Linked DNA regions of Elephas maximus indicus. The protein of the gene in region 1 binds, or shares a complex with, the protein of each later gene. Links are inferred from orthologs where the notes say so. Each region holds a gene or a part of one and is shown in the gene's direction. Other genes may lie near its edges. The genes, in order: TREX1, nucleoside diphosphate kinase A and ANP32A.

Region 1 (6,171 bases):
CTCAGGCATTATTTGTTGAGTGAATAAACCCTGTTTTAAGGTAGGGAAACTTGTCTGCAGCTCCATGGGGAGCATGCTGGTGGAGAAGGGTGGCTTTCAGGCCATCTGTCAGTCTCCTGAAACATTGCCCTTCATCGCTGTCTCATACCACCTCGACTCAGTGATTCTCTTCAGAATTCCTTTATGCTTTCCATGCTTAAGCTGAACCCCCCTACACGCAGCTTCCTGTCTACCTTGGGCTTAAAGCTTGGGTCAGGAGGCTGTCGAGGCTCGAAAGCAGCGTGATGCAGTACAGGTAACCAGGAAGGCTGCGGCACCTTCTGTTCCTCGATAGCCTTAAAAGGGAGGTCGTCGCCCATCCAGTCTTTAAAGCGATCATCCCTCTTATCCTTGTCTTGTTCCTACTGCATCTGTTACAGCCCTAGGGGTCCAGGGTTGTCCCCCAGGGACTGGGACAGCAGGGGGTTCTGAGCAAATAGGACTCACCCCCTTCGAATATAAAATTTCATTTAAAAAGAAGGTTCTGATGCTATCAAAAAGTAGGTTGGAAACCACTGTGTTGTATATAAAGGGGTTTTTTTCCTTGAAGATAGTTTCAGGGGCTATAGTGCACTAGTTTGGAGCCCTGGTGGTACAGTGGTTAAGAGCTCAGCTGCTAACCAAAAGGTCAGCAGTTCAAATCCATCAGCTGCTCCTTGGAAACCCTATGGGGTAGTTCTATTCTGTCCTATAGGGTCTCTATGAGTCAGAATCGACTCGACAGCTTGCCTGATGAAATCAGGTAACAACCAGGTTAAATTTCAATCTCCCACAAAGTCCCACACTCCCTGGCCATTGAAGACCGTTTCTCACACCATGTTATGACATCATGCCTGTTTGGGGGCAGAGGCAGGAAAGCCTGGGAGCTGAGTGTGGGCCAGGCTCCAGGTCCAGGGAGTCCTCCCATTCTCTGAAGAATGCTGGGCCAGGTGAGGGCCTGACAGCCTTCCACCTCAGCAGACCTGCGGGGAAGGTTAGTCCCCACATTTTCACATGACGAGTTTTGTAACAAGTGGGTGGTGGTCAGGCCAGCGTTTGAATCCAGGTCTGAACATTGTCTCTTCATTCTGCCCTACTCAGGTTTTAAAGGAGCCCTGGTAGCACAGTGGTTAAGTACTTGGCTACTAACTGAAAGGTTGGTAGTTTGAACCCGCCAGCCACTGGCAGGAGGAAGACATGTCAGTCTGCTGTAAAGATTTACAGCCTTGGAAACCCTATGGGACAGTTCTACTCTGTCCTCTAGGGTCACTATGAGTCAGAATTGACTCGACAGCAATGGGAACAGGTACTCTGATTTTTGACCACTAGTGAAAAGCAAGGGTGATGAACTGTGGAATTGGGGTTGGGGAGTGTCATGTCTCTCTGGACCTGTTTTTTAGATTCCAGTGTGTGTTCCGGGTGCTGCCACAGTGCCTCAGCCCAGAAACGCCCATCCCCAGCGTGCTGTTGACTGTAGAGCTCCTCTCCCTGCTGGTGGACCACGAGAAGCTTGCCCCTCAGCTCTGTGCCCATTCGGGTAAAGCCAGGCGGGGCGGACAGCTGGACTTCGGCGGACTGGAGGGAGGGTTGGGACAGAGTCAGGGGCCTCCTGAGGCGCCTGCAGCTTGTCCCCCAGCTCTGGGTGAGAAGGGCACCCTGAGTGAGAAGTGGGGCATCCTTTGCAGAGGGCTGCCTCCTCCTGCTGCTGTACATGTACATCACGTCAAGGCCTGACAAAGTGGCCTCGGAGAGACAGTGGCTCCAGCTGGAACAAGAGGTAAAAGTTCCAGACCCCACTGTGGACTGCTCACCACCTCTGCCTCAGGGCCCACAAGCCTCCTTTCTCTGTCCTTCCCGGCCCAGGGAGAAAGGGACCTTTAACTCATTTTGGTAATCAGCTTATCAAGCATCTAAGGAGGTGAAGTCAGTTTGGGGTTGCCACACCACACAGATAGGATAAAGGTGCATCCCAGTTGTCCTGGGACTTGGCAGACCTGCCTGGTGACTGATCCTATCCTGGCTTTGAGTCCTGGTAGCCAAAACGACCTGGGGGCAGGTGGGTTGTTGGTGAGACACAGGCGTGGGTCCTGAGTCTGGCCTGGGAAGGCCCCACGACACCACACCTAGACCCCATTTGTGCAGATAAGCAGTTGCCAAAGCAACTGGAGCTCTTAGGAGAAGCCAGGCAAGGCCCTGTCTGTCTTGGTCTCACTCCGCTGGGGATGGAACTGCCTCATTCTTCTTCTAGGTGGTGTGGCTCCTGGCAAAGCTTGGTGTGCAGAGCCCCTCCCCAGTCACTGGCTCCAACTGCCAGTGCAACATGGAGGTGAGTGGCCAGGGGCAGGTAGCAGCCAACAATGTGGCAGCTCTGCAAGTGGGCAAGGTGGCCCTGTGCAAGGACTCCGTACTCCTAAACCTGGTGCCCACCACTCAGAAACCTCCTCACCTGGGATGCTGGGAAATGTGCTGCCCAGCTGAGCAGGTTTTTAGGCACAGGAAGCTAGGAGACTTGACCCCCTCCCCCATCAGGTGGTGAGAGCGCTCACGGTGATGCTGCACAGACAGTGGCTGACAGTACGGAGGGCAGAGGGGCCCCCAAGGACTGACCAGCAGAAGCGGACAGTGCGGTGTCTGCGGGACACAGTGCTGTTGCTGCACAGCCTGTCCCAGAAGGACAAACTCTTCACTGTGCACTGCGTGGAAGTCCTGCATCAGTATGACCAGGTGATGCCAGGGGTCAGCACACTGATCCGAGGGCTCCCTGATGTGACAGACTGTGAAGGTGAGCAGGCAAGAGGATCTACTCACACGTGGGGTTTTCCCTGAAGCTTATGGACAAGGTCGACTTCCTGGCCTCACTTAGCAGTCCCCTCCCCCATCTGTCACAGCCTTTCCTGCCCTGGGGACATGCTCATTGTCTTCCTGCTTTGGTTCTTCTCTGATCACACTGGGCTGCCTTTTGCTTGCATCTGTTGAGTTGGCCTGGCAAAGCCACGGTTTTTCCAGAAGTATCCCTGTCTGAATTGCCTTTGTATCACTTTGCTTGCAGTAGCTGAGGGAGCAAGGCCTGGGCTTGGAAGGGACTGGTTAGTTCCTGCCCGCGCTGGGGGAAGAGAGGCGGGACCTCCCCCAGCCCCCAGCACCTTCCCATCTTCACCATAGAACCCTTTTCTTTCTGGCTCAGAGGCAGCCCTGGATGACCTCTGTGCTGCCGAGACCGATGTGGATGACCCCGAGATGGACTGTGCCTGAGGCCCGTGAGCATTGCCAGCACCACCATTTTCCTCCCTTCATTAACTGATTAAAAGCAGTGAGGGGCTGTTGGGCCGAGAACACCAGCTTCGGTGTTGTGTTTCCTGAGTCTTCTTGGCTGAGTGGGCGGGATGGCACAGGGACCCAGAGAAGAAAGGCTGAGATCCTTCCTTCTGTCCCTGGCTAGAGCTGAGATCCCATCCCCATGGTAACTAATCTGCCATAAAGAGCACTGCCCTGCTTATAGAATTGCCCTGAGTCATTGTTTTGGGCTAGGGCCATGGGAAGAAACCTTCGTGTGGCAGAGGAGGGCCCCTCACCCTAGACGTAAACTAGGGAGGCCTGGGAAAGTGGGCCAAGGTGTGGGTGCAAAAGGGCCAGGCCAGGGGCTCCCAGCAGTGCCAGAGCTAGTCTTGGAGCTAGCCTCCCAGGACTGCCTGGGCACGGTGTCCTCAGGTGGCGCTCTCACTGGGGTGAGCACCCTGGTGCACTGTGCACAGGCCCACAGCTGTGCATCTGAGAAGTCCTTGGGGCGCCACTGCAGGGAGGGAAGGAATGACTGGGAAGCGAAGGGCGCTGGTGGGTGGCCTAAACCCAGCCGGCTTAAGAACTGGGCGGGCCTTGCTCACGTGGGCACGTAGGCGGGTCTTAGTCCTGCGGCGGGGCGGGGGCAGGGCCTAGGCTGCGTTTCACTTCCCGCCACTGCTGGCCAGCCCCAGAACCAGACGGAGGGTGTGCGGCCCTGATTGCGGCTTGTTTCCGGTGAGTGCAGACCCCCAGGGAGATCCGCGGGAGGAGGAGAAGGCTATGTAAGATGTCCATGGGTGCTACCCCCGAGGTGGGCATTAGGGGAGGCGCCAAACTCATGTGAAGGAGACCCCCACACACAAACCCACAGTTGAGTGCTTTTGGCACTGAGGAAGCCACCCCACCCTCTCTGAGCCAGCTTCCTGCCCCCACCCCACCCCCACCATCGATCTTTCTACTGGGGCACTCACCCACCCCACCCCTACCCCATGTTCCTCCCCAGGCTCAGCAGCAGGTACTAGTCCCTTCCATGGGCTCACAGGCCCCATCCTGGGGTCCTATGCAGACTCTCATCTTCTTGGACCTGGAGGCCACTGGCCTGCCCTTCTCCCAGCCCAAGGTCACGGAACTATGCATGCTGGCCATCCACAGATGTGCCCTGGAGAACACCCCCAGCCCCCAGGGGCCGCCTCCCACCGTACCTCCGCTGCCGCGCGTGGTAGACAAGCTCTCCCTATGCGTGGCTCCTGGGAAGGCCTGTAGCCCTGCGGCCAGCGACATCACGGGCCTGAGCACAGCTGCACTGGCAGCACATGGGCGTCAGCGCTTCAATGTCAACCTGGTCAACCTGCTCCGAGCCTTCCTACAGCGCCAGCCACAGCCCTGGTGCCTCGTGGCACACAACGGGTACCGCTATGACTTCCCCCTGCTCCAGGCAGAGCTGGCTGCACTGGGCCTTGCCAGTGCTCTGGACGGCGCCTTCTGTGTGGACAGCATCACTGCCCTGAAGGCCCTGGAGCATGCCAGCAGCCCCTCCGAGCGCGGCCTAAGGAAGAGCTACAGCCTGGGCAGCATCTACACACGCCTCTTCGGGCAGGCCCCACCAGACTCACACACAGCTGAGGGGGACGTCCTGGCCCTGGTCAGCATCTGTCAGTGGAGGCCGCAGGCCCTGCTGCAGTGGGTAGATGCTCATGCCAGGCCTTTCAGCACTGTCATGCCCATGTATAGGGTTGATGCCTCCACTGGGACCGACCCAAGGCCATCAGCTGCCACGGCCACTGTGACCCTGGTCACAACCAGGGACACTAGTCCCAACCTTGGTGGGGACAGGAGCCCCAAGAGTCTTCTTCACTTGGAGGGCCCTGGAATCCTACCCAAGGAGGGGCTGCTGGCCCCACTGGGCCTGCTGGCCTTCCTGACCTTGGCAGTAGCCACACTGTATGGGCTGTCCCTGGCCACAACTGGACAGTAGGGCTGAGGAAGAAAATCTAATAAAGACCCCCAGCGCCAGTGAGTGGTCATTTGCTTCCTGACACACTGTCCTCTGGGGTGGGGAACACAGAAGGGGACAAGTTTCTGTTTCTCCCCAGCAGGAAGTCTGAGCCCAATAAAAGTAGGAAGAAACTTGGTCAAAATCACGGAAAATCCAAGTGGTGGGAAGAAATGGTACACAGCCTAATGCCCAATCCCTGCAGCCAAGGCTATGAAGAAAGAGGGAAGCAGTTCCAAATGTTGGCATTTATTATAAACAAGGGTGCAGACCCCACAACATTTCTCAGAAACATAGCAGCAGATACAAAGCTAAGACATTTCTGGTGAAACAACAGAAGATAAGAACACCAAGTTACTCATGTCTGGGCCTGAGCTGCCACCCGCAGCCCCGCCCCACCTTTGGTCCAGAGAGCCTCTCGGTCCAGGTGTCCCGCTGCCAGGATGAATTGTGGACTGAGGTACAAGGAGTTCAATGTTCCGGGGGGCTGGTGTCAGGGGAGTAGGGACAGAAAGGTCAGACCACACCTCTCTGTCGGCCAATTTCCCCCCAGGACCCAAGAGTTTCAGCCTCACGCAACTGTCACGCACGTTACCAACCAGAACATGGGACAAAATACTTGGCCAAAAATAAAAACAGAGCAGGGAGGAGACCTGAGTCTGTTTTTGGACAGAGGCCATCCTGCCCACTATGGCAAGGGCCAGGGCCAACAAGGGCAAGAGAGCTTCTCCACAGGCAGCTAGAACTGTGGGTGGACATGGGCCTCCAGGTGGTCCCAGGGAGGGTGCAAGGACAGTCCAGGCAGACAGCTCTCAGGTGCTGAAACTGGCCCTGAGAACGATGTGAGGTGGTGGGCCTGTGCCTGAGGTGTTTTGATACCA
Region 2 (6,933 bases), on another chromosome or scaffold:
AAGTCCCTGGAGAAGGACATCATGCTTGGTAAAGTAGGGGGTCAGCAAAAAAAAGGAAAACCCTTAACGAGATAAATTGACACAGCAGCTGCAACAACGGGCTCAAACATAGCAATGATTGTGAGGGTGGTGCTTTACCAGGCACCTTTCCTTCTGTTACACATAGGGTTGATAAGAGTCGAAACCAACTTGACAGCACCTAAAACAACAAAGTCTAAACTTCCCAGGCCGGCATTCAAGGCTTGTCAGTAATCTGATGACCTTATCCCCTCTGTTCCATAAGATTCTGTTGGGAGTGTCTAATTAGTTTCTCAGAAATTTACTACTTTTTCCTGGTTGCATCCTTTGTTTTTGACTAGTTCCCTGATCCCCCAATACCTACAGCCTTATCTACTAACTACCCTCTTTCTGTGTATCCAAATCCTACCTCTATAAAATCTTTCCCTACCCCATCAAGACAGCCCAGTGGTTGCTCTTTCTCTTGCCACAATGTTTGATACTGTTAATGCAGTTCACTAAACATTACTCCTATTATTATTTTGAGCTGTGAATACACTGAATTAGCAGGTATATTTAGCAGGGAATGGATGGGGGGCCAGAGGAAAGGAATGATCTGATGATGCCTGAGGTAGTGAATTCCCATTCCTGAGGGTTTCAAGGCTGGATGATCACTTGCCAGGGTTTTGGAGACAGGATTAGTTCCTATGCCTATTAAGATTTCTTCTAGCTTTGAACTCCACAAAGACAGTTTCATAATTTGCTTTGCAGAAACATTTACCTTGGGAAGCCTGGGGGGTTATTCGTTGAGAAAGAAGGGTGAGAGTGGATTCATGTAATTACCATGGTTCCTAGAAGAGATGTGACCTGTTTTCTACTCCCCAACTCCCTTCCCTAGTGTCTGCCTGGGCAAGATCATCCCCACTTAGTAACGCTTAAATCATCAGTTTAAAAGCACCTAGTTTTAGGATAAGGAGCCTTGGTGATTAAGTGCTTGGCTGCCAACTGAAAAGTTGCCAGTTCTAACCTACCAGCCGCTCTGCGGGAGAAAGATGCTGCAGTCTGCTTCCATTAAGATTACAGCCTTGGAAACCCTATAGGACAGTTCTACTCTGTTCTGTAGGGTCACTATGAGTTGGAATCAACTGGAAGGCAACGGGTTTGGTTTTGGTTTTAGGATATAGCTTTACAGAGTTTACCAATCAGCCACATGAGAATCATGAGGGAACTTATTAGAAATGCAAATTCTTAGGCTCCATCTCAGACTTACTAAATCAGAATACGCATTTTAACAAATTCCCAAGTGATTTGTTTGTATACAGAAGTTTGAGAAGCACTAGTATAGTGGACTCCAACCACTGGGAAAATGCTTTGTCAATAACTCTATTGAACTGACATTTAATGCACCCTCTCAAGAAAAAAAGAAAACTAGGAGTCATCATCTATTTTTCCTTCTCTCACACCCCATATCCTCTCCATCAGCAAGCCTGTTGATTCTGCCGTAAATATATATCCTGTAACTAACCACTTGTCTTCATCTCCTTTGTCACCACCTATTGCAAACCACCATCATCTCTCCCTTGGACTACTACTGTACTCTTAACGTGTTTCAATTCCACTTAAAAAATTTTATTTTTAATTTAAAAATAACTATAAATTTACAAGAAGTTACAAGAAAAACAAATAAAAACCTAGGGAAATCCATGTATACTTTCCCTAGTTTTCCCCATAGCAACATCTTCCCTCACTACAGTACAATATCAAAACCAGGAACCTGATATCGCTACAATCCATAGAACTTAACTCAGATCTCTCATTTCACATGCACTCATTCATGTGCATGTGTGTATAGTTCTATGCAACTTCATCACACGTGTAGATTTATGTAGCTGCCACCACAATCAAGAAAAAGAACTGTTCCATTACCACAAGACTTCCTCCTGTTACCCCTTTACAGCCACAATTATCCCCTTCCTCCTACCCCTGACTCCTGCCAATCATCAATCTGTTCTCCATCTCTATAATTTTGTTATTTCAAGAATGTTATATAAATGGAATGATATCATATATAATATTTTGATACTGGCTTTTTTCACTCAGCATAATTCCCTTGAGATCCAACCAAGTTCATGTATCAATAGTTTGTTCTTTTTTTACTGTGGAGTAGTATTCCATGGTACGGATGTACTACAGTTTGTTCAGTCATTTACTGAAGGACATTTGGGTTATTTCTAGTTTTTGGCCATTACAAATAAAGCTTCTGTGAACATTTTGTACAGGCTTTTGTGTGACTAGAACCTAAACTTGGATTTCGCTAGGATAAATGCCCAAGAGTTCAATTGCTGGATTGTATGGTAAGTGCATGTTTAGTTCTACAAGAAACTGCCAAACTGTTTCCCAGAGTGGCTGTGCCATTTTGCATTCCCACCAGAAATGTATGAGTGATCTAGTTTCTCTGCATCCTTAACAGTATTTGGTATTGTCACTATATTTTTAGCTATTATGGAAGGTATTTAATTGTGGTTTAATTTGTACTTCTCTAATAGTTAATGAAAGGAGCCCAGGTGGTGCAACACTTCAGCGCTTGACTGCTAACCAAAAGGAAAGGTTGGCTGGAACCCACTAGCTGCTTCATAGGAAAAAAGACATGGCAATCTGCTCCTGTAAAGATTACAGCCTAGGAAACTCTAGGGCGCGGTCATACTCTATTACATATGGCACTGACTCCAGGGCACAACAATAGTTAATTACATTGAATATCTTTTCTTTTGATTATTTGCCATCTGTACATACTCTTCAGTGAAAAGTCTGTCCTTGTCTTTTGCCCATTTTCTACTTGGATTTTTAAAACATTGTTGAGTTTTGAAAATTCTTTGTATTTTCTAGATACAGGGCCTTTATCAGCTATGTGGTTTGCAGATGTTTTCTCCTCCATCAGTGCTTGTCTTTTCATCCTCTTCATAGGTGTTTACAGAGCAAAAGTTTTTAATTTTCATGAGCTGCAAATTTTCCCTTTTATGCACTGTGAGTTTGGTGCCAAATCTAACAACTCTTTGCCTTGCCCTAGATCCTTTAAGATTTTTTTTTACTGTTTTTAAAAAATGTTTTATAGTTTACATTTTCCATTTAAATCTATGATCCACTTTGAGTGAATTTTTGTGTATGGTGTGAGGTTTAGGTCGTGGTTTTTTTTTTCGCCTATAGTTCGCCAATTGTTTCAGCACCCTTTGCCAAGAAGACTCCTGATTTCAATTTTGTTCCCAGTTCCGTTCTTTCCCCATACAGCAGTCAGAATGAATTTTTAAAAAGTATGTCAGATGACATCAGCCCCATAGGGTTTCCAAGGAGAGCCTAGTGGATTCGAACTGTTGACCTTTCCGTTAGCAGCCTTAGCTCTTAACCACGCCACGAAGATTTCCTTTGTCTTCACAGCACTTATATAATACCACATTTATTACATATTAATTAATTTGCCTATTGTTTTTCCCTGCTCTCAATCCCACCAGAAGCTCCAAGAGAGTTTACTGCTACATCCACAGTGCCCAGAATAGCGCCTGGTACATAGCACACGGTCCACTAAAACCCACTGTCGTCAAAAAATAACTTATTGCATGACTGACCTAAAGAAGGAACGACTACATGTTAACATGTCTGTCAGGTGCCCCTTCAGTCTTCATGCAAGGTCTCGGCGCCCCCTCTCGGGGAAACCAATTTGCTTGCGAACGAAGGAAGCGAGTCACAGAACCGGAAAAAAAAAACGGACTCACGCTACCGGAAGAGCAGGAAACTAATGCCGGAAGTTAAACACCGGAAGGCTGCTCCCTAGAATGCCATCCTACCCCCAAAAGGAAGCGTGGCCGAGTGGTGTTCTGCAAAACGGGCTCTTCGGCATCCCATTTGGACAGAAACGTTCCGCGCGCGTCCGTGCAGGGAACCACGTGGGGCAGGGGCGCGTTTCCGGTGCCGGCGGCAGCTGCCAGAATTGAAGTCCAAGCAGCTGGAGGGGTAAGAAGGGCATGGAGTCCTGGAAGGAAAGGAAGAGGAGTGGGGTCGGGGGTGAAGAGTTCCACTTTGAGAGGCAGGGAAGGGGCTCGGATGGGAGGAAAGGGCCATGGAGCGTCTGTCGACAGCTGCAAACCTGCCGGCGCACGTCCCACGGCACGTGGACTCGCCTTTGTCCGTGGCTGCTCTTCCTACCCCGTCTCGAGGGCAGGGATTATGAACTGTTTATTTCTGCCGAATACAGTGGCTGGTACATTGTTGGTGCTTAGCAAGTCTTTGTGGAATGAATGATAGGTATATGTGCTGCGGGTGGGAGGGAAGGAACACTTATAGGGGCTATTTTTGGTTCTTTAGCCCCATTTTCTCGTGGAGAGTCCATGCTTGTCCCGAGCTTCAATCTGGATTTTCCACCCAGTCCCTAGCACATTATCTCTTGGAGGGAGGAGACATTTTCTTTGCTCATATTGAGTGCTAGCCTTTGTGGTTAGGTGCTGGGGACAGATACGGAGTAATTCAGTTCTGTATGCAGGTCACAGACCATTGGTGAGACAGACACAAGCGGAAAATTTAGACACCGTGTTAAGGTGCTATAATAGGTTAAATAAATTATAAGAAGATAGAGCTAAGAGCTAGGAATTGGTGCTACTATCCACACCAGGAATTGTCTTCCAAGATGAGGGGCTTCCTCCTCCTTTCTCACTGTGTTGAGACAGGGCAGGTCATGGGTCCAATTTCTTCTGTGAAGGGAAGGTCTGTAATAGATCGTTTTTAAGCTTCCTTCCAGCATGATGATCTGTGGATTTACAGTCCCATATCAGATACTACTATTAGCTGTAGTTCTGTAGTCAGAATATTCACTCCATCTTAGAGTGTAGCATAATTGCATAAAGTTGAGGCTGGGAATTCTGGATTCTGGCCCCAGCTTGTACTCTGCACTTGTTTGCCCACCTATAAAATGAAGGGTTTTAATGAAGCAGTCTCTAAAACCTCTTCCAGTTCTAATACCATGACTGTGGCCTTAAGTCAAGCTTTATTTCATATTGCCCTGTACCAGATGGCATTTTCATATTATCATTGTTCCCCATCTGGATTACTGAGAAAGATAGTGTCTAATTTTTACATCCCTTACCTTAGTTTGCCACACTATTAAATGGCATAGAAATAGCCACCCTTGTTTTTGGACTTGTCTCCATTCTGGGATATTAATTCATAGATGAGGGGTGGGGGGAATTGAAATTTTACTGGAGACTTGGAGCTGACATGACGGGCTTAAACCAGCTTTATGGGTAATCAGCTTGAGAAGGATAATGATGTAGGTAGGATATTCAGTGCCGATGCACTCATCCACCTGCCAATCTCCAGGGCCATGGCCAACAGTGAGCGCACCTTCATCGCCATCAAGCCTGATGGGGTCCAGCGGGGCCTCGTGGGAGACATCATCAAACGTTTTGAACAGAAAGGATTCCGCCTTGTTGCTTTGAAATTCATGCAGGTAAGTTGACTCCACTCTTCCTATCTCAATTCCTTGGTAGTACAGGGGAACATTGTAGGTTAAGTTCTCTGTTTCTCTCCTCCTCTCCTTTTTAGGCTTCTCTGTGGTAATGTGGGCACAAATGTCCAGAAACCTGGAAACTCCTCAGTGGCCCAGCATTGTGACCCAGTCTGGGAATGAACCATGTTATTTGGGGCTTTAGAAAATAGTCTCTCCTTTCCTTTAGCAATGCAGACTTCCACCTATTACTGCAGCACTGTAATTTCTGAGTCATTGCTGGGCACGTCTGAGCTACTGGCCTCAAGCGTCCTCAGCAGATAATTTTAGAGAACATTTTTTTTTTCATCCTCCGAGGCAGGTTGTTTTTCAGCAAGGAAATATGTCCACTAAGGAAATATTTCCACCATCAATTACCACCCACTTAGTGTCTAGCATATATTAGGCACCACTGAAGTGTGTGGGGGGGAACTGGTTTTGCCCCTGGGGAGGCTCTCCTGAAACAGCATGACGCCTACAGAGCAACATTTTAATACATGCAAAGGATTAATCGATCAAGAACCCTTCTTCAGACAAATCTAAGAGGTGAGAATTCAAATTCCCAATGCAAATAAATTAGAGGACAGTCGTTTTTCCATTAAAGGTGTCAACTTTGGCATCTCCTAGTGCATTTTAAATTTAGTTTAATTTGCAATTTAGTTCCTGTGTAATGTTTTAGAAAAACTGCTTTCATATAAAGAGATTGAGATGGAAGTTAGTGCTGAGCGGGGAGCATGACAGGATTATTAGAGCCAGGTGTTGGACAAAGAATGCTTTCCAAAGGCTTTGCATATTAGGTTTTAAAGGTAAAATGAAACGAAAGTATTGTTGACCAGGCATTTTACTCTGTAGGGGGCACTGCCAGAGGCATTCTCACAAATGCCTTCACACCTATCTCTCTTGACAACCCCGAGAGGTGGGTTTTCCTATTCTTCTCATTTTTAGGGAAACCCTGGTGGCGTAGTGGTTAGGAGCTATGGCTGCTAACCAGAGGTCGGCAGTTTGAATCCACCAGGCACTCCTTGGAAACCCTATGGGGCATTTCTACTCTGTCCTTTAGACTCGATGGCATTGGGTTTGGTTTTTGATTTTCTGGTTGTCAATGATGAGGAATCTGAGGCTTGGTGAAGTTAAGTCATGTGCCTGATAGCATATTGTCAGGAATGCAGCTGGGGTTTTAGCCTAGGTCCTTCTGACCTCTAAGTGCATACATCTTTTCCTTTATACTGAGTTTCCTATTAAGGACATGGATTTGGTGAAAAATGACAGGAGGGAGAGGAGGGATAGCTGCCATGAATCAAAGGAGTTATTTAAACCTGATGTGGAGGAGGGAGGCAAGGGAGAACTTGAGCCCCCCCCCGATTTTGTCCTCCCCTCCTTCAAAAAAAAAAAAAAAGCAACCCCCC
Region 3 (7,530 bases), on another chromosome or scaffold:
TTTATTATTATTTTTAAAAAATATCATCCAGACACAGGGAAAACAGGGTAGAGAGGAGGAACGTGCTGTCTCATTAGGGGGAGTGCGGCTAGGAATACATACCAAGGTGTGTATAACTTTTTGTATGAGAGACGGACTTGATTTGTAAACTTTCATTTAAAAAAAATTTAAAGCACAATTAAAAAAAAAAAATCCATCCAATGCTTTGTTAAGTACAAGAAAATTAAGAATAAGTAACTTTTTAGATCCTGGGCCTCAACATTCCTTTGCTATTCATATCAAAATGCAGTAGTCTTCACATTTGTTACCCTGGATTTCAAAAGAATATATTTCTAAAAGCTATTTATATAGAAACACAAAGGAGAACATAATTAAGCTGGAGTCTTCCCATATCATTGTTTTTGGGGTCTAAGCAGCAGAACCATGATGTAGGTAAAAGAATACAATGGCCAGGTTCCAGTGTATGTGATTCAAGCTGAACAAAAAGCTGAATGGTGAATACGTTAACCTCACTCATGGAAAGGATGCTCAGTAGAGGGTCTCCGTCTTTAGAGACCAAACAAGGGCAATTGAGCCAACATGGCAGCAGCAATGATGTGGGTATTTATAAAACAATACTTTCTAACACTTATCAAGATAGGCTAAGGACACCCATTCCTCATCCCTCTTTGAGTACAAGATAGGCTGCTCATTTGTTTGGAATGGTTCTTGATGGGAAATATTCTGCAAGACAGAAAGATATCTTTTCTAACTTGAGAACCATCTTTCTTCCTTGAGGCTTGTCTTAGTCATCTAGTGCTGCTATAACAGAAATACCACAGGTGGATGGCTTCAACACAGAGAAGTTTATTCTCTCACAGTCCAGTAGGCTACAAGTCCAAATTCAGGGTGTCTTTTCCAGGGGAAGGCTTTCTCTGGCCACTCTGGAGGAAGGTTCTTATCATCAATCTTACCCTGGACTAAGAGCTTCTCCATGCAGGAACCCTGGGTCCAAAGGACACATTCTGCTCCTGGTGCTGCTTTCCAGGTGGTGTGAGGTTCCCACTCTGCTTGATTCCCTTTCCATTTATCTCCTGTAAGATAAAAGATAATGCAGGCCACACTCCAGGGCAACTCCCTTTACATCGGATCAGGGATGTGAATTTAGTAAGGGAGTAATAATCCCACCCTAATCCTCTGTAGCATAAAATTACAATCACACAATGCAGGACAGTCACACAATACTGGGAATCATGGCCTAACCAAGTTGACACGTATTTTTAGGGGACACAATTCAATCCATGACAGGGCTCAAAACTGTCTCATTCTTTCCAGTGTGAATCAAGCCCAGTTACAGAAGTCACAGACTCTACACCTCTCATAACCTAACTCCTATTGCAGAATCACTCAGCAATTAGGAACTCACCCTGTTCCAACTCCACATCAAAATTCAGCAAGAGTCCTTGGTATGGGCTTCTTTTACTATTATCTTCCGATTTGCAGAGCCATTCAGAGCATTTCTTTACTACTATAGAAGGGTCGCTACGAGTCAGAATCGACTCGATGGCACTGGGTTTGGTTTTTTTGGTTTATAGTATGCAATAAAATGTAATCTAAGAAACAACCCTAGTAAATAAGGAATATAAGAGCAAATATTTTTTGATGTTTTGATTTTTTTGATGGCTCAGTTTTACCCGAGCTATGTCTGTTTCCTTTTGACAATTAAATCAGTACCACGTGAAAATTTTCTTAGAAATAAACTTCCTGTGCGCCGTCAACACCAACTCAGAGAGACCCTATAGGACCGAGTAGAACTGCCCCATAGGGTTTCCTAAGCTGTGATCTTAACAGGAGCAGATCGACAGGTCTTTTCCCCCTTGGAGCTGCTGGTGGGTTTGAATTGCTGACCTTTTGGTCAGCAGCTGGACATTAACCATTGTGCCACCAGGGCTCCTTAGAAATAAACTACAAACATTAACTTCTGTCTGCGAAAGTGAGAGGAAGTCTCTTCTTTCAAAGTATGTGGAAAAAAGTTAAGTATTCAATTAGTTATGGAGCCTTTTTTGATATTTCAAATTCTATACTGACAGATATCCAGGAAAGCATTCTTTCAATTTTCTAACACTAATACAAAAGCAGTTAAAATTTTAAAGGGCAAGATGCTTTTAAAAACAACTGTGTTACATTTCATATTTTGATATAGTGATCAGGCTGCAATTTTTCCAATTCTAAACATTACCACTCTATGAAGGGCTCTTCCGTATCTTAATTTGTTCAGGTGCACTCTTTAAAGGGGGTTTGAGCTTCCAAGCCATACTCTCCCGTTCTTACACTCTAAAGCTATCTGCTTCTGTTTCAGAGTATTGGATGGGACACATCTCTGCACTTGAGTGGATGGCTTTTGAGGGATCCCTCCTCTGCAAAGGTACTGTCCCATATCCCATTTTAACTGTGGTAAACGTTTTAAGTTGAAGATGAGTCTTTACCACTTAGAACATAAACGTCAGGGCTACTATGTTACATAGATGCTACACACCTTATTGATTTAATGTGTTTGTGATGTTTTCCAGAGGTCTGTTTTGAAACAACCTTAAATACCATATTCAGAAATAACTGACTCAATGGTAAAAGAGATAATTTGGGGTCCTTCCTTATGTTTTAAAAAGAAACCAATACCATTAAAAAAAAAAAAATTCCAACTATGCAAACCAAACCACACTTATTGCCGGCAAGTCGATTCCAACTCATAGCAACCCCATAGAACAGAGTAGAGCAGCCCCATAGGGTCCCAAGGGGTGGCTGGTGGATTCAAACTGCTGACCTTTTGGTTAGCAGCCAAGCTAAAATGAGATTAACAAAACTAAAGATGACAGGTATGTCAGCTAAGCCAGCAAGTTAAAATTATTCTAGGTACACCCAAATCGATTAAAATGCCTTTTTTATTTTGCATTTCCCAACTACTCAAAGGGTAAGCATTATCAGTTTTTAAATTCCATTTATTACTATTCTATCTGAAAGAAGAATTTACTGAATAAAGTGTTAAGTTGCAGGATGTCGCCTGTATCTGTCCTTGTTAACAATTCCTGTGATTTATTAAAAGCCATAGGCAGCCAATTTAGTACACGAAGGTCTAGGCCTGGCCGTAAGTAGTTGGTAACCCAGTGAGAATTAAGACTTTAAGGTCTCTTAAAACTAATGTGATTCAAACTAAAAGCAGGTAAAGCAAAAACACCTGGTGAAAATGCTCCAAGTAGAGCCTCCCTGGTAAGCCAAATCTAACCAATGACTCAAATGGACGATTAAAATGAACTGCACCGTTTCCTTCAACTATGTCTATAAAACCCCATAAATTATTTTTGGCCCAGAAACCCAGGAGTTATAATAGCACCTTCCTTTTGCACGTTTTAATGTTCTATATACATTTATCAACAGTTCTTATTCCAAGTTCATGGTCTTCATATACTGTCTAAACAAGACCCTGGTGCCTCTTGGTGACCACCCCCCCCCACGCTGTTCCCTACGGAGAGGGTCGAGACCGCACGGTAAAGTCATCCAAAAGTGGAAGGAAACATTTTGCTTTTCTTATTTATTGAGAGGCAGCGATGGCCCTGGCCGAGGGAAAGGGGAGCGCTGGGCTGAGCCGCGGCCACCAAGTGTGTGTGTGTGGCGGGAGGGGGACGGCCACGCTCCTCCAGCTCAGCCCTCCGGACCCAGAAAATGACCAGCCCCTCCGCCCAGCTGCACCCTTGACCCCTCCCCCCTTTCCGGGCCTCCCCCGGCCAGCCCGAAGGGCAGCCGGCGGACCCCGACCTCGCGCCGCCCGCCTCCTTTCGCAACCCCATCGGGCGGGCCGGAGCGGCCGCGCTAAGCCTGGGGCCCGGCGGGGACCCCGACCCGACCCCTCCGGCCGCGCCCCTCCCCCCGTGTAACGCACCTGCGGCCCCGCCCCCGGCCAAACGCTGAGGCGGCGGCGGACTGGCGCGACCGGGAGGCTCGGCCCTCGAGGCACAGTCACCTTCCCTTCCCCCGCCATTCCGCCCACCCCCCTCGCTCAGCCACCGAGCAGCCACCGCGCTCCTCGGCCGCCCCGAAATCTAAAGGGGTCCGTCTCCGGCACCACAACCAAATGGCTGAGCCTCCCTGGCCGGCTGCGCAGCCCGCCCATTGGTCCCTTCCCCCCCGCCGCCGCCACCATGGGCTGTTGCCCGGAGACCCTCGGCGATGATTGGCTCTGGCTGCTGCCACTCGTCCTCGGGGCCGCAGGTCCCGCCTCCACGGCGATCAGGTTAGTGTGCGCTGCGGGTGCTGGGGGCTCGAGAACCGAGCGGAGCTGGTTGAGCCTTCAAAGTCCTAAAACGCGCGGCCGTGGGTTCGGGGTTTATTGATTGAATTCCGCCGGCGCGGGAGCCTCTGCAGAGAGAGCAAGCGAGAGATGGAAATGGACAAACGGATTCATTTAGAGCTGCGGAACAGGACGCCCTCTGATGTGAGCATTTGCCAAAAATATCTCTGTCGGTCCATTCTCCTACTTTGTCTGTCTGTGTTGGGGGGGAGGCACTGTTTTTTGAGAGGGGGGCGCCCAGAAGGTGTGGGTTTGAGAGTCGGACTGCAAATGAATTGCAGGGTTGGGGGATTGCAATGCCATCCGAGCATGTTCCGGCTGCTGCTGCCGCTGCCCTTGGTGTGTGACTACCTGTGCGTGTGCTCCCGCGTGTGCGCGTCCAAGTGTGCGAGTGTGGGTGCGAGTGTGCGTGCGAATGTGCACCCATCAGGGGCCAGCGGGCGCACGCGTTTGGGTCGGAGAGAATGAGGGAAAATCACCCTCTGAGCTCGCTGCTCCCGTGACTCCGTCGGGGGGAAAGATTAACGAGGGAGGGGGAGGACAGGGGCTGCCTCCTGGATTTAACAACAAAAATAAGGGGCTTTTATGTTTTATAAACGTAGCCCTCCTTCCGCGCCCCCCCTCCCGCGCCTTCCCCCTCCCTTTCTCTCTCTCACACACAATAAGTTTTGGGCTTCGCGAGTCCAGTTTAGTTTCAGATAAATGTGGGCCGAGGCCCCCGGGGACAGCGCGTGGGGAGGGGGCTGCAGTGGAGTTGGGAATGGCTCGAGTTTAAAGTGCGTCTTCATTTCTTTGCAGTGATGAGGCGAGAGACGGGGGAGCCATATTTGTAACTTTGTAGTGTTCGTGAACGCGCCCTTTCTCTCCCTCCCTCCCTGCCTTTCTCTGCCTCCCTTCCTTTCCTCTTTCTCTCTCACTCTTTCCACCCCACCTTCGGGCCAGATGCTGATGTTTCTTCCTTTCCTTCGGAAGGGAGGATAAATTAGAAGGCGGGGGGAGGGATTTTCGAACGTGGAAAGGCACAGATAATCCCCGCGCCTCCCCACCTCGAGCCACCACTGTTGCAAGTTACCGAGAGGCTACGTCCCGGACCCCTTCGCCCCAGCTCCTTCCGGCCTCCCTAAGATGCCAGCCTCGGAGCCTCGCCTCCCCGTCAACACGAGCCCCCAGCCCGGCTTTCTCTGGGGTGGGCTCTTTGGCAGCCATTCGCGCCTGGTTCATAAATGGGCACGGGAAACTTTGTCAGGACGCGAGCTGCCCAGAGCTGGTGCTGGGTATTGGCTGGGTCCAGGTTTATGCGGGCATAGAAAACACGCAGCTCCGGGACGGAGTTTGCCTTCTCTTCGCCGTTATTGATTGGGCAGCGGAAGGAGTCCGGCCGGAGAAAACTTACACGGATGGGAACCGGGAGGCTCTGGCAAAAGCCCACTCCTAGGAGAGGGGACAGTGAGGGTGGGTTACTTGCACGCTCGTTTTTATTTCGGTCTGCCTCCCGCGTGCAAACATGAGTGTTTTATGCGAGTTGGCTCAGCGGAGGAGACCCCCAGGCCCGGGGCGAAGACGCTGGCCGACTCCCCTCGTGGCCCTGCGGGGAGATCTGGGGCGCGCGGGCGGGCGAGGAGGACCCTCTATAACCTCGGTGGCCGTGTTTGCGCAGAGTTGGGAATTTGGGTAGCACTGTGCGCTGACCTGTCGCCTCTCTAACCCGCTAAAACCCGAATCCCTGGCGGAGGTCGGCTTTGCTTCCCCTTTTCCCTAGTTCCTCCCCCAAACCTGAGTGTGACTTTTGAAAACAAGAGCCTTTTTGTGCCCCCACCCCCATCATAACGCAGCTGTGGACTGGAGACGAGCGAGTGCCTTATGGCGCGCAGGGCTGGGGGATGGCCGCCGGAGAAAGCAGGAGTTTCCGCGAACAATTCGCTGGCGGTTTTCTTTCTCTGGCCGGTATCATCCCAGCTTGGACCCCGGGCCGGAGGATTTGGGGCTGGGTGTGGTGATGGGGGAGGGGGTTGGAGGCCGCGGTCTTCCCGCGTACTTTCCGGAAGCCCCCGGTGCGGAGGGGGAAGGGCGCCAAGTAGGGGGCCGGGGTCGCAGCTGCTCGGTGTGGGGGCGCGGTTCGCCGGACGAACCCTATACACATTGCTGGCCAATTGGGAGCGAGATCGAAAGCGGGTCGAACCGGCTCTTTAAACTTCACCGAGTGTGTGTCTCTGTGTGTGTGTGTGTGTGTGTGGTGTGTGTGTTGGGGGAGGGGAGCGCGACGCGCCGAACTGGGAGAGATTTCTCACGCTTCGCCCCCTCGCCTCCTAGTCTCCCTGCCCACTCGCCTGCCCCCGGCCTTGAGGAGGGGTGGGGAGCGGATGGGGGTTGAGAGGACACTTTCTGCATATTTGGATAGGAGGGGGAAAAGGCTACCTAATGAGGGACAAAAGGGGTGGGGGAGGAGGAACTGTTTTCTTTTAAAATGTCCTAAATGCAAATAGCTCCCGGAGAGCGCTGCCTGCACCCCTCCCTGCCGCGCTGCCCCCGGGCCCCCACACACCCACCTTCGGAGCCTCTCCCAACTCTGTTCCGGCGGCTGGTGGCCACGCCGCGACGCCGAACTAGGACGAGCAGCCATGTTTCCCCGGGTCTCTCGCGGCCCGCCCCGCCCCTCCCCCACGGCGCGGCGGGCGCGGAGCGCGGGGCTCGGAATGCGGGCGCCCGCTCCATGCGGCGGGGCGCCGGGGCGGCCGGGACGCCGTGCGCGCGGGCCGGGGCGCGGGCGCGCCGCCTCGGCCCCCGGCCCCGCCTCGCGCTTTCCCGAGTGGTTCCGAGCGCGAGGTGTTTAATTTAGGATTTTTTTTCACAAGCAGGCCAGCCTGGGGCCGAGCCCGAGGGGCGCGAGGCGTTATTGGGGGGGCGAGGGCAGCCGCCAAGGCCTTGCGCGCCTGTGGCACGACTGCCGGGCGCCGGGCTGCCATTTTGTCACCGTGGATGTTGTCGCTGTGGGGGGGGGAGCGGAGTCTTGCGCCATTGCCCCGACGGCCCCGGGCACGGAGGCAGTGGGGGGGGGGGGGCCGGCACAGGGGACCCCAAATCGTTCTCGGGGCCCCGATGGGGATTCTCTCCCCACGCCTACAGCCCGAGGTTTCGCCGGAGCGTCGCAGCGGCGGTTGAATCGGGAGGGCGACGGTCCTCCCGGCAAGTGCTCCCCTCACCCCAGTCGC

The links.
Region 2: TREX1 (region 1) and nucleoside diphosphate kinase A share a complex: the UniProt entries of both Homo sapiens proteins name them as parts of the SET complex. The link is inferred for Elephas maximus indicus from reciprocal best matches to the Homo sapiens genes TREX1 and NME1.
Region 3: TREX1 (region 1) and ANP32A share a complex: the UniProt entries of both Homo sapiens proteins name them as parts of the SET complex. The link is inferred for Elephas maximus indicus from reciprocal best matches to the Homo sapiens genes TREX1 and ANP32A.

Annotation. Positions count from the first base shown.
Region 1 is NC_064838.1:53,003,888-53,010,058, forward strand, and holds TREX1 (three-prime repair exonuclease 1), read left to right. Parts: upstream 1-3,940; 5' UTR 3,941-4,032; intron 4,033-4,300; 5' UTR 4,301-4,327; coding exon 4,328-5,272; 3' UTR 5,273-5,600; downstream 5,601-6,171. Other genes in the region: ATRIP (ATR-interacting protein), read left to right, coding at 1,419-1,555, 1,704-1,795, 2,267-2,344, 2,548-2,800, 3,203-3,270. UniProt on the Homo sapiens protein: Major cellular 3'-to-5' DNA exonuclease which digests single-stranded DNA (ssDNA) and double-stranded DNA (dsDNA) with mismatched 3' termini. Prevents cell-intrinsic initiation of autoimmunity.
Region 2 is NC_064837.1:42,629,506-42,636,438, reverse strand, and holds the start of nucleoside diphosphate kinase A, read left to right. Parts: upstream 1-3,858; 5' UTR 3,859-4,002; intron 4,003-5,361; 5' UTR 5,362-5,365; coding exon 5,366-5,491; intron 5,492-6,933. UniProt on the Homo sapiens protein: Major role in the synthesis of nucleoside triphosphates other than ATP. The ATP gamma phosphate is transferred to the NDP beta phosphate via a ping-pong mechanism, using a phosphorylated active-site intermediate.
Region 3 is NC_064831.1:58,980,667-58,988,196, reverse strand, and holds the start of ANP32A (acidic leucine-rich nuclear phosphoprotein 32 family member A), read left to right. Parts: upstream 1-4,530; 5' UTR 4,531-6,181; coding exon 6,182-6,265; intron 6,266-6,867; exon of another isoform or gene 6,868-7,050; intron 7,051-7,530. UniProt on the Homo sapiens protein: Multifunctional protein that is involved in the regulation of many processes including tumor suppression, apoptosis, cell cycle progression or transcription. Promotes apoptosis by favouring the activation of caspase-9/CASP9 and allowing apoptosome formation.